Linked DNA regions of Neodiprion lecontei. The protein of the gene in region 2 interacts with the protein of the main gene of each other region in a pairwise test. Links are inferred from orthologs where the notes say so. Each region holds a gene or a part of one and is shown on either strand. Other genes may lie near its edges.

Region 1 (4,347 bases), on a different chromosome or scaffold from region 2:
TGTTGATTAAATATTGTCTAAAGGTGAATTAGTTATCCGGTGAAAATTTGTACATCTCGTGAACAATGTATAAATTTATGGTCAAAATTTATAGCTCTATGAATCCGAGGCAGCACATGACTTGGCCATGTCAAAAATCCCTCTGCAAAGATTAGGAACTACAGACGAAATAGCAGGAATCGCAGCTTTCTTAGCGAGTGAGGACGCATCTTACATTACTGGTGAAACTATCGTCGGAGCTGGTGGCATGTTATCAAGACTCTGAGAAGTCTACATCAAATATCAACAATATAAATTTTGCATTGTCTGACTCAACACCCCAGAGTCCATATTATTCACAGGTAATTTTTCAGAAACAATTTTAGAAAAAAATAATGATAACATTTACAAAAATACATTTGTTACATGCTTTTCCCCGAATTATCAAAGTTAACAAGGATTCTTTCTTTGTATGCTTGGCTTCATATTATGCATTATATATTATGTATTGATGAGAGTGCTCATTATCATCGCTATTTTATCGGCTAAAAAATTGGGATACTCTTTGAATTTATACAATGTATTATAGAGTTTATTAGAAAGCTATAATAAAATAACATTTTTTTATCAGTTAATTATGTCAGCTCGCCACAAGCTGTGATGACCACTTTTTGAGTAGGGGTACCTCCTTTGGTTCCACATTTTTCCATTTTTTTTAATACATCTAATCCACTAAGAACGTGACCAAATACGACATGCTTTCCATCAAGCCAGTCCGTACGTGCCGTGCACATAAAAAATTGAGAACCGTTTGTATTAGGGCCTGAATTTGCCATTGACAAGGTCCCAGGACCCGTATGTTTGAGCTCAAAGTTCTCGTCGTCAAATTTATTTCCATATATAGACTTCCCTCCAGTTCCATTATGGTTTGTGAAATCTCCACCTTGGCACATCTGTTTTATAAAAATATTAGTTTAGGAAAAAACCTTTTGTTTTTTCTTTTGATTGGTGTCTGGCTTGAAAAAAAATATGGGGTGTTTCAACCGACACTCAAAGTCAAGGATACGAAATCTGGAATGATTCTGTGGAAAGTGCTGCCCTGATATCCATATCCTTTTTCATGTGTGCAGAGGCAACGAAAATTTTCTGCAGTTTTGGGAACAATATCAGCTCTAAGCATCATGATGATTCTGCCCAGCTCCTGTTTTCCTATACTGACATCAAAGTAGACCTGAGGATTTTGCTTTCCTTTTTTTGCTGGAGGTCCGCTATCAACTTTTGCCGTAGAGTCATCAGTTTCTAGTGTCTCTCCAGCATGTTCCTGGAGCCAAGTATCATCTGCCCAAACTGGCTTAGATGAACCCTCCTTTATCTTTTGCGGTTTGGCTATGTTTACTCTTATGGTTCTGCCAAAAAGCTCAGAGTCATTCTAGTGAATGAAAAACACAAGAATAATAAATTTATTAATTTGTCTCTCACTGCCTCTGATTATATCGTTTATTAGTCTTTTTGTACCATATTGTCAATTGCTGAGGCAGCATCCTCAGCAATTTCAAACTCTATGAATGCAAATCCTCGGTGCTTCTCAGATTCGTAATCTAGTGGTATTTGAACATCGACGATTTCTCCGAATGGTATAAACGCGGCGTGAAGCACCTTTTCGTCTACTTCCTCAGCCAACCCACCTACGTACAATTACATTGGTCGCAGGAACATTGAGGAAAAACAACTTACACTATTAACCTAACCTATTATAAATTCATATCTTTATTTCCTCAATTATATGATATTTGAACATCAAGTGAATGATTAACCGAAGAAAAAAATAACTCGGGTAGTGGAAAAATAGAAACAGACAAGATAATTAGTACCTTCGAGAAAATACAGAAATCGAGCGAGAATAATTGAGGTTAGTTTCATTCAATCCAGTGATTATAAAAATACAAGGCGAATCATACCGACATATATAGTCCTCTTCGCGTTGTTACTCATTTTACAATCGAGATCAATCTGTCGTCTGCAGATAAAAGTCAAACAACAACGTGTTAATAAAATTCGTTCGTAAACATTGTCTGACGCCGGTAAGACGCACTGAGTGTTGTCAACAAGTCGCACTGCTTGTCGCGCAATTACAAGCCGTCGCCATGCAAAGCGATCATTAAAATTCGATTCCAGTAAGACCATATCAATCCGAACTGGTGTCGAGTTCCGAGAGTAGACTCGGTAGAATCATGCTGGCGGCTTATTAGTACGAGCAAGGCTGTCCTCTTTTATGCAGTTATAAGCGTCAGTGCTTCGAAATTCGAGATTCGAACCCGGTCGATCGTTTGGGGTTCATAGCGTTTTTAGAGGGATTACGTAACCCGACGAATCTGTCTCATCATAATAATCCGATAACCGGGTAACAGTTAAACATGTTTTCCCTAATGCGATACAGTCAGTGGCAACATTGTTGCAGGCGTGCACTGAGCATGCTGCGAAACCAAGCCTACGTTGGCGGCGAATGGCGAAATGCCGGTAGCGGCGAGACATTTGAGGTGCTGAATCCCTTCGACGGTTCGGTAGTCGGCAGAGTCCCGGACATGAGCGAGTCGGACGTGAAGCTTGCTGTGGATACAGCGCAGCGAGCCTTCACCGTGGGGGAGTTCAGCAACACGACGGCGAAGGAACGGAGCGACTTGCTGCGCGGGTGGTATAACCTGATGGTGAAGCATGCGGAGGACCTGGCGCAGATAATGACCATGGAGAGCGGCAAGTCCCTCGCGGAGTCGCGGGGCGAGGTAAAGTACGGTAATTCGTTCGTAGAGTGGTTTGCTGAGGAAGCACGTCGCGTCAATGGTGAGGTGATCCAATCGCCAGTGCGCGGTAGAGAGGTCCTATTGCTCAAGCAGCCTGTTGGTGTTGCGGCTCTCATCACTCCGTGGAACTTTCCGCATGCTATGATCACCCGAAAGGCTGGAGCAGCATTGGCTGTTGGTTGTACTTGTGTCGTTAAGCCTTCTGAAGAGACTCCGCTGACCGCTCTGGCGCTCGCTAATCTGGCAGAACAGGCTGGGTTTCCAGCTGGCGTCTTCAACGTTGTCACAACCAGTCCCAAGAACTCTGCGGCTGTTGGGAAGCTCTTGTGCGAGGATGCGAGGGTCAGGGTGATGTCTTTCACAGGCTCAACAGCTGTCGGGAAGATCCTCTACAGACAGTGCGCATCGACAATTAAACGGCTAAGTCTTGAGCTCGGGGGAAACGCTCCATTCGTTGTCTTTGAATCAGCTGACATTGACCTCGCTGTTGCTGGTGCAATGGCCAGCAAATTTCGCAACACAGGACAGACTTGCGTTTCTGCTAACAGGTTCTTTGTTCATGAGAATGTGCATACTGAATTTGTCGATAAATTTGTTTCTAAAATTAACTCTGATATCAAGATGGGCGATGGAAGTCGAGAAGGGATTACCAATGGCCCACTGATCAAAGAGTCACAACTCAAGATGGTCTCTGACCTGGTCAATGATGCCCTTACAAAAGGAGCGAAGCTCCACTGTGGAGGCAAGCCTTTACCTGAATTAGGCCCTCTTTTCTATGGCCCAACTGTCCTTACGCGTGTCACCAAAGGAATGCAAATTTACAACAAAGAAATTTTTGGCCCTGTCGCTGTTATAAACAAATTTTCAAGCGAGGAAGAAGTTCTTAGGGAGGCAAATAATACACCTGTCGGTCTTGCAGGGTATTTTTACTCCAAGGATATATCACAGGTTTTCAGAGTCGCAAGGAAACTGGAAGTAGGCATGGTTGGGGTAAACGAAGGGCTTATTTCGTGTACAGAAGCTGCATTTGGTGGCATCAAGGAATCTGGACTGGGAAGAGAGGGTTCTCACCATGGGATCGACGACTTTGTAGATGTAAAGTACGTCTGCATAGGAAACGTTGCCTATCAGTCATGAAAGTTATCTTAAGCACCTTGTGAGCATTCCTCAATGAGTCCAGACACTATGAGAACGCGACACATTCACATACTTAATTCGATGTCAATTTGCAATATCTACAAAAAAGATCGATCTCAGGGCTAGAGCTTTCAAGAAAGACAGAAAAAAAAGAACAAGAAAAAATGTCAGTCTTTGGAAGGCAAGCTTTCGATGATTTTATTCTTAGACAATAAGACAGAGTTAATGATTTTTTATTTTCTGTCTTTCTTTGATCGATTTATAGGTGCGTGATTATAAATGTCCGAAGTCTTCCATTTTAATAAGAATTTTCTAGTTAGTATGCTGCTTATATTTCTAATTAAACTTACGAAATAATGGTTGTTATAGAATGTAATATCATTTCTTATTGTATGAATCTTGACAATGTCATACATTGGACTCCTAATGATTG
Region 2 (6,535 bases):
GAGGTGTTTGAAGGTGGCAGGCGGGGTTAGGCGGAGGTTGGAGAGGGCAGGAAGTGTTTGGCGGTAACTGGAGGTGATCGGCGGTCGACGAGGAAGACGTGGGTCGGGGGGTTGGGCGAGTACGAGCAGGAAGAGGGGGGGGGGGGGGGGGAGGACGAAGGTGGGTGGAGGTGGTTGACGGCGGTTGGAGGTGCTCGGTGGTATTTGGGGTGGTTGACGGTGGATGCGGTGGTCGTCGGAGGCGGTTGGCGGTGGACGCGGTTACGCGTCTCCTCACGGGGATCATCGAGCTGATGAACATTTCTAAGTCGCAGTCAACAGTCTTACGTACTCACTTTGTGCCGACTCAATCTCAAGCTTCCATACCGACACTACTTTAGTTGCTAGGAATGTCGGCGAGAGCCCGTTAGATAGAGTCGATAGAGCAAAACCCTTCTACGGTCCCAGGCCCACCCGGGCTCACTTGGCCGCCAAAAACTGGTCACAAAAATTTACCTAGGGGTAACAGTCTTTATATTCTTCAACGTAGTGGAATACAATCGATTTAAATTTTAGGATCCAAACCACTCAGGCAGTCCATTAGGGTGTTGAACGTAACTTGATCTGTAGGATTTCATTTTGATATTTTATTACGCATAAGTTTTTCCAAAATGCAAGGTTGATACAGAAACGGTAAGGCGGACAATACAGGCGCGAATCAGAATTTTATTTTCAATTCTCCACGTGCAAGGCAATGCTCGGAGCCAAACAGATGAACGACATGTACAATAGTTTACTTGTTTTTTTTTCCACTTCGAATCAAACCATAGTGGTGAATGCTCGTATGACAACAAATATGTCGTATTGAAAAATCTTTAGTCGTCCTCGTCCTCTTTGGTGGCCTTGAGGCTTCCAAAAACTTTCGATGGAATGGCTTGTTTCTCTACCGGTACATCTAGAAAAACGAGACACCATCAAACTGGGGATATTCGTGTAAGAGGAGTTTCGTTCCTAGTGAACAAGAAGATGTAATACTATACCCTCTTCAATTTCTTTCTCCTCATCTTCACTGTCGTCGTCCATGTCAATGTCTATTTCATCTGGATTGTTCACTTGACGTTCGGACTTTCCAGCTCCTTCAGTTACTCCTCGTACAAATTTGATATTATCTTTGAATCCGGGTTGCGCAGCAGCATCTGGAAGGAGGAACGATAATTAGACATGAGTCATTTTACAAATTTTTCTTTAGGTTCGTACACTTAACCAGAAACTGACCTGTACTGGTTGAGGGTATCTTGTTGTCCAAAAGTCGCATAGCGTCACCGGTGCCAGCACTGTCATCGATAGAGAGATTTGTCGCACTGTTAAGCATCTGTGCTGACATCATGTTTACTTGGGTGTTGTACATTGCTTGCACGCTTCTCTTGATTCGCAGCATTTCCCGCATCGTGTCCTCATTGCCGTGGCGGACTTCAAACTCTTTCCAAACTTGCCAGAAATTAGACGTTACCTAAGGAACAAGAACCACTGTGTTACTTATTTGCTGCTCGTACAGAGCATTGAGAAAGATAACTAAAATAAAGTTAAGCAATTCGCTAACCCGGGGATCGCATATTTGACTGCAGTGAGCGTAAATCGCCCTCGCTCGATCGACTTCACCGAGCTTAGTTTCCATCTCTGCAAACCGGAGACACATCTCCCGCGTATTTTCTTCATTCAGAACTTCGATCGCCTTTTCATAGATCTGCCGCGTCTTCGGCACTCCGTATATATCAGCGGCTTTCTTTATGTATATGTTGAACATCTAAAAGGAATGAAAAATTGAAAAAACTACGCCCAACAAACTTTTACCTATTCTTTCGAACACCGTTACCCACCTCAAATCTTTCTTCTGGTAAAACAGCGCTAGTCGCTCGCTCGTATACGGACATCGCGTGCCTTGCTAAGCCATGTTCCTCTTCCAGTTTCGCGTACAGCAAATAAAGAGCTTGATAAACAAAAAGAATTTAAATGTCGTTTAAAATCAAGACGGACAGGCTTTAGGTAAAATTTGGTATACCTATTCAATTTTAGAACAAACTTACCCTTCGCATACTTTGGTGGGCAATGTTCCAAGCATTGTTCAAACAGATCGCGAGTTCTTTCCAATTTCGTTCCCTCGTATCTTTTCAGGAATTTGGTGAGGTACGTGTTCCATATGTCATATACATTTGGCCACTTAAACAGAGCAATACCCTTTTCGTAGGCCTGAAAGAAAAAAGCGTAAACGTCGAATATTCCGCGATATGTAGATACAAGGTGTATTGCTACATGCTGAGAGAAAAAGAAATATCCACCCTGAAGGCTTCCTCGAAATAGTTATTCTCCTCCAAAAATAGACCATAGTTTATGATGATCTGCGGCGTCGCAATTTTGAGATCTATGATCTTGTCATACACAGCCTTGCACGTCTGAAAGACGAAAATTCATCTGTAATCAGCAACTCAATGTTGACCAGTTTTATTGACAATCAATAGATATATTACATGGTGTACCTTGAATGTACCAAAGCTCTCCTCGAGATCAGCGTACATGGACCAGACTTTAAGTGACTTGTACAATCTCATTTGAACGGTCTCAGTCTCGTCGTGATACGCAACTTTGCGTGAGGGCATGGTGGTTGCCTTGTGCATAAGCTTCAAGGCCTCTTTGCAATTGCTAATTACAAGAAAATGGAACACCATAATTACAGTAAATTCCTAAAATGGAATTGCAACTATTTGTAATGATCAATACTTACTCGTGCCTGATCTCCATTTCGGCCCACTCGCACCAAACGGAAGCAAGATCATCAACCTTCGTGTATGCGACGTGCGTCGCTTTATCGAAAACAACTCTGGCATCTGCGATCTGTCCATTCTCTTCATAGAATTTGGCAAACGCAACCCACAGTGTGTGCAACTTGCCAACTGCCTGTTGTGGCAACACCGTTTGAACAGCCTCTGTATACGTGTTGATTATCTGAGAAATTTCATCTGTTAGTGACTTGATCAACCAAGCAGAGATGTTGACGTTTCTTCGACTTTGGTTACCTCATGAGGTTGCCCCTCATAGAGCATGACTCGTTTGTGCCATTCTTGAACGTTGTGCGGATTTTGCCTAAGCAGCACACTGTTCAGCAACAACAGTCTTCTCTCCATGAGGTGTTCAAATCTTGCTAATCGAAGTTCGAGTTCAATGTCATCTATAAAATCATAGAAATTGTAGACAATAGATAATCTCACTTGGGTCAATGAGCCAAGTATTTAAGACTTACCTTCTTCGGTTGGATTGGGATTTTTGGCAGCATCCTCCATCCTCTTGCTGAGGCTGAGTTCCTCAAACTGGGCATACGCATCAAACACTTGGGTAAAGTCCCTGACAGTGGAAACTGTCTGGATTGCTTCTTCGTAGATATCTCTGGCCTATGGAAAAAACAACCTTTTGGTCCAAGTACAAAGATCTCGTTCACTGTTTTGCGAATTGTAAAAGATACTTACGCGCTCAAAAAGGCCACTACGAACGTAATAATCAGCCAATGAATTCCACAGTGGACCCAACTGATCAGTATATCGCCTCAATCCACCTCTGATTATTGCATCAACGTTCAAGGATTTTATTTTGGTAGGATTCTTTGATATAAGGTCGCAGAGCTCGTTCCACAGCTGGTGGTTCGATTTACCATGCTTTGACACAAAGTCGTCCTGGTTTACGATTTGGGCTAATTTGACCGCAGCTTCGTCCAGTCTTCCCGTCGATATCAAATACTCTATGTATTCCTCTGCATCTTCTGGAGCTAACTGCAACCATGTGACTTAATCCGTGTAGTATTTGAGTACCATTTCATGTTAGTATGAAAATAAATCGATCGGGGAGTACTCACCTTCAGATATCTCCTGAAGACGCGTACAGCTGTTTCATATACATTGTGTTTCTTGAGGAAGCCAATGTAAAGTGGCCAGACACGATGATGCTGCGTGATGGGAAGAGCCCGAAGCGAGCGATCGAATACCTGACGGGTCCTCGTGATGTAACACTGATCGGTCATCAGGGTGCAATAGTCCATCCAGATTCGAGGCATTTTGTGCATGAATACAAGTGCTCGTTCAAAAGCATTGTTTACATCCTCGTAGAGCGGGTCTGTCACGCAGCGTCCCTTCAGCTGTTTTACCCTCTGACGCAAGTAGTTATACCATAACTTGTAGCTATAAAATATTTTCATTTAGTGATCGTTCAAAGTATAGAGCAACTCTTTGCTCACCTTCCCGGCAGCTCCTTCAAGGCTCGTTCATAGACAATATTGAGGTTAACGCTCTTCGTGCTCTTCAAGTGATCAATGTAGCGTTGCCAGTGCTTAACAGAGTAAGGATTCCGCAGGATTTCCTCCTCGTAAGGCAGATCCTCCTCATTCTGCGAGAGATAACGAAGGTTGCTGATTTGTTTTTTGAGGTTAGGTTTAGTTACCGAAAATATTTAAAGGTTATACTCACGAAGATGTAACTATTCCCATCAGAATCCTCTCGCTGCATCATCTCTGCTCAAGTAATGACTAGACCCGGCTTTTATTCTCTTCAAATTAATAACAATGCGACATAACTGTAACACGTATAGCGTTGTATAGCACGACCTAACTTAGCAAGTAATACCGCGTCAAACAACCCGAAACTACCAAAATGATACAGACGCAGACGGAGCAGACGGGGAATCGTTGAGTTGTTTCCGAATCTATTGTGACCGTAAAGACACCAGAGGACGGCAGTCCTATCGTCGAATGTCAACCGTAGGAATTGGGATTGAACAGTTTCACCTTCCAAATTATATCTCGCTTGCAATGAAAGCAGCGAAAACCAACCTTCCGTGCTGTTTGTAAAATAATTCTAGTAGTAGAGGTAAACAAACACACTTTGAATACTTTCTCTTCCGTTTTATCATGGAATTACCAGCTACATCGTCTCTGCAATTAGATGCGGATTATACACGTACACTTCTACATGCACCCGACTATCGATTCCTCTCAGCTCCTCTTAAATTCATTTTTATATATTATTTTAAGACTTTAATTCGTCCATCACCAATAATTCACGCATTACTTAGTAAAAATGGCAATTAAACAAGTACAGACAGCAATTATGGAGTCAAAATGCGTCACCTTTGGTATTTTGATCGCTTAATTATTATACTCTTGCTGTAATATGCGTGTATACTTTACATGAACCATGCCTACTGTGAGGATGACTCATACAGTATAAACAAGGGTGCGTATTTCAAACTTATAGAATATGGATAAAAGCTGCTTTCCTCTTCTGCAAGCCTCTTTATCGTATATCGAAGAAAACTGATGCATTCTGGCATTATGACACCAGTTTGCAAGAACGAATAGGTATAATAGAACAGCGAAGAGATGTTAAAAGCTCGTCAAAACCTTGAACGCGCGTCTATAACGCACTTATTTATAAACGCAGCTTTGCGTAACGCGCGCGCTGTATGATATTGTCTAGCGCGGGAGGGCAATAATTATATGTATATCCGCGTGTAAGAACTTGCACAATTATTTAAACCACGATCTCGCCACCGCTGCCGCCGACATACGTTTATTCTGGTGGAGCATCCTTCCGCTGCTGCTGTTCATCTCGTTTTTTCTCGTCGCCGACTATCGGGACAAGGCTTCTAATCTGCTGATCGCGAACACGAAGATCAACCACGCTCAGGTAAGGTGCAACAATCGAGGTACGTCGGTTAGTTGCGTTCGAATTTGCACCTGCGTAACGCGAGGTCTCGCGCCGATTTGGGCACAGAATGATAATCATCAGCTTGTAAGCCGGAATAATCATGCCTCGCAACGGTGCTCTGTAATTTTTAATGTAATTGCTCGAACACAATTTGTTCAGTTACATAACTTGACCGGCCTCGGGATTTTTCAATAAATTAAGAACACGCGTGCGATCGTCGAACGTATAAATTCATGCGAAAGCGAATCATCTAACAGCCGGAATTGGACGGATGCCAGTAGATCGTATAATTCAAAAATAAAATTCTCCTAGCTGTGCGAGTTATCAGCTCTACTCTTATACCGCTCGTGGTTCAGAAACCCACGACTACTGACCCAGCTGTTGGTTTTTTAGGCGCCGAACCAGGAATCACACGTTAGCAAAAAATCGAGAAGGATGACTGTTACACTGTGGGTCGTCGGCGGTCCCGGATGCGGGAAGGGCACCCAGTGCGAGAAAATCGTTGCAAAGTACGGCTTCCTTCATCTCAGCAGCGGTGATCTTCTTCGGGACGAAGTCGCCAGTGGCAGTCCAAGGGGCGCCCAACTCCAAGAGCTCATGTCCCAAGGCCTCTTTGTACCATCCGTAAGTTGCGGGACATTTGGCCCGAATTCCTAAAGAGTTCTCTTTCGTCTTCTCGTCTGTCTTCGGACAACATCAAATCAAATTAGCGCGTTCTAGTTGCAATATGAAACGTTGCATATGAAGTCAAAAATATGTCTTTAAAAAAAAGGTATTCAATGGTTTATTTTGTTAATCACCAATTATAC

The links.
Region 1: the proteins of pre-mRNA-splicing factor syf1 homolog (region 2) and peptidyl-prolyl cis-trans isomerase E interact in a two-hybrid assay, tested with the Caenorhabditis elegans proteins (2 studies listed by BioGRID). The link is inferred for Neodiprion lecontei from reciprocal best matches to the Caenorhabditis elegans genes syf-1 and cyn-13.

What each region holds. Positions count from the first base shown.
Region 1 is NC_060262.1:20,670,125-20,674,471, forward strand, and holds peptidyl-prolyl cis-trans isomerase E, read right to left. Parts: upstream 2,164-4,347; coding exon 1,938-2,163; intron 1,665-1,937; coding exon 1,495-1,664; intron 1,409-1,494; coding exon 1,046-1,408; intron 933-1,045; coding exon 615-932; 3' UTR 550-614; downstream 1-549. Other genes in the region: dehydrogenase/reductase SDR family member 4, read left to right, coding at 95-265; 3-sulfolactaldehyde dehydrogenase, read left to right, coding at 2,394-3,914.
Region 2 is NC_060264.1:23,215,683-23,222,217, reverse strand, and holds pre-mRNA-splicing factor syf1 homolog, read right to left. Parts: upstream 4,824-6,535; 5' UTR 4,682-4,823; intron 4,667-4,681; exon of another isoform or gene 4,594-4,666; 5' UTR 4,530-4,593; coding exon 4,488-4,529; intron 4,408-4,487; coding exon 4,259-4,407; intron 4,203-4,258; coding exon 3,881-4,202; intron 3,798-3,880; coding exon 3,498-3,797; intron 3,423-3,497; coding exon 3,275-3,422; intron 3,203-3,274; coding exon 3,051-3,202; intron 2,980-3,050; coding exon 2,759-2,979; intron 2,677-2,758; coding exon 2,514-2,676; intron 2,430-2,513; coding exon 2,316-2,429; intron 2,227-2,315; coding exon 2,064-2,226; intron 1,967-2,063; coding exon 1,857-1,966; intron 1,784-1,856; coding exon 1,580-1,783; intron 1,490-1,579; coding exon 1,255-1,489; intron 1,176-1,254; coding exon 1,020-1,175; intron 935-1,019; coding exon 855-934; 3' UTR 686-854; downstream 1-685. Other genes in the region: adenylate kinase isoenzyme 1, read left to right, coding at 6,162-6,350.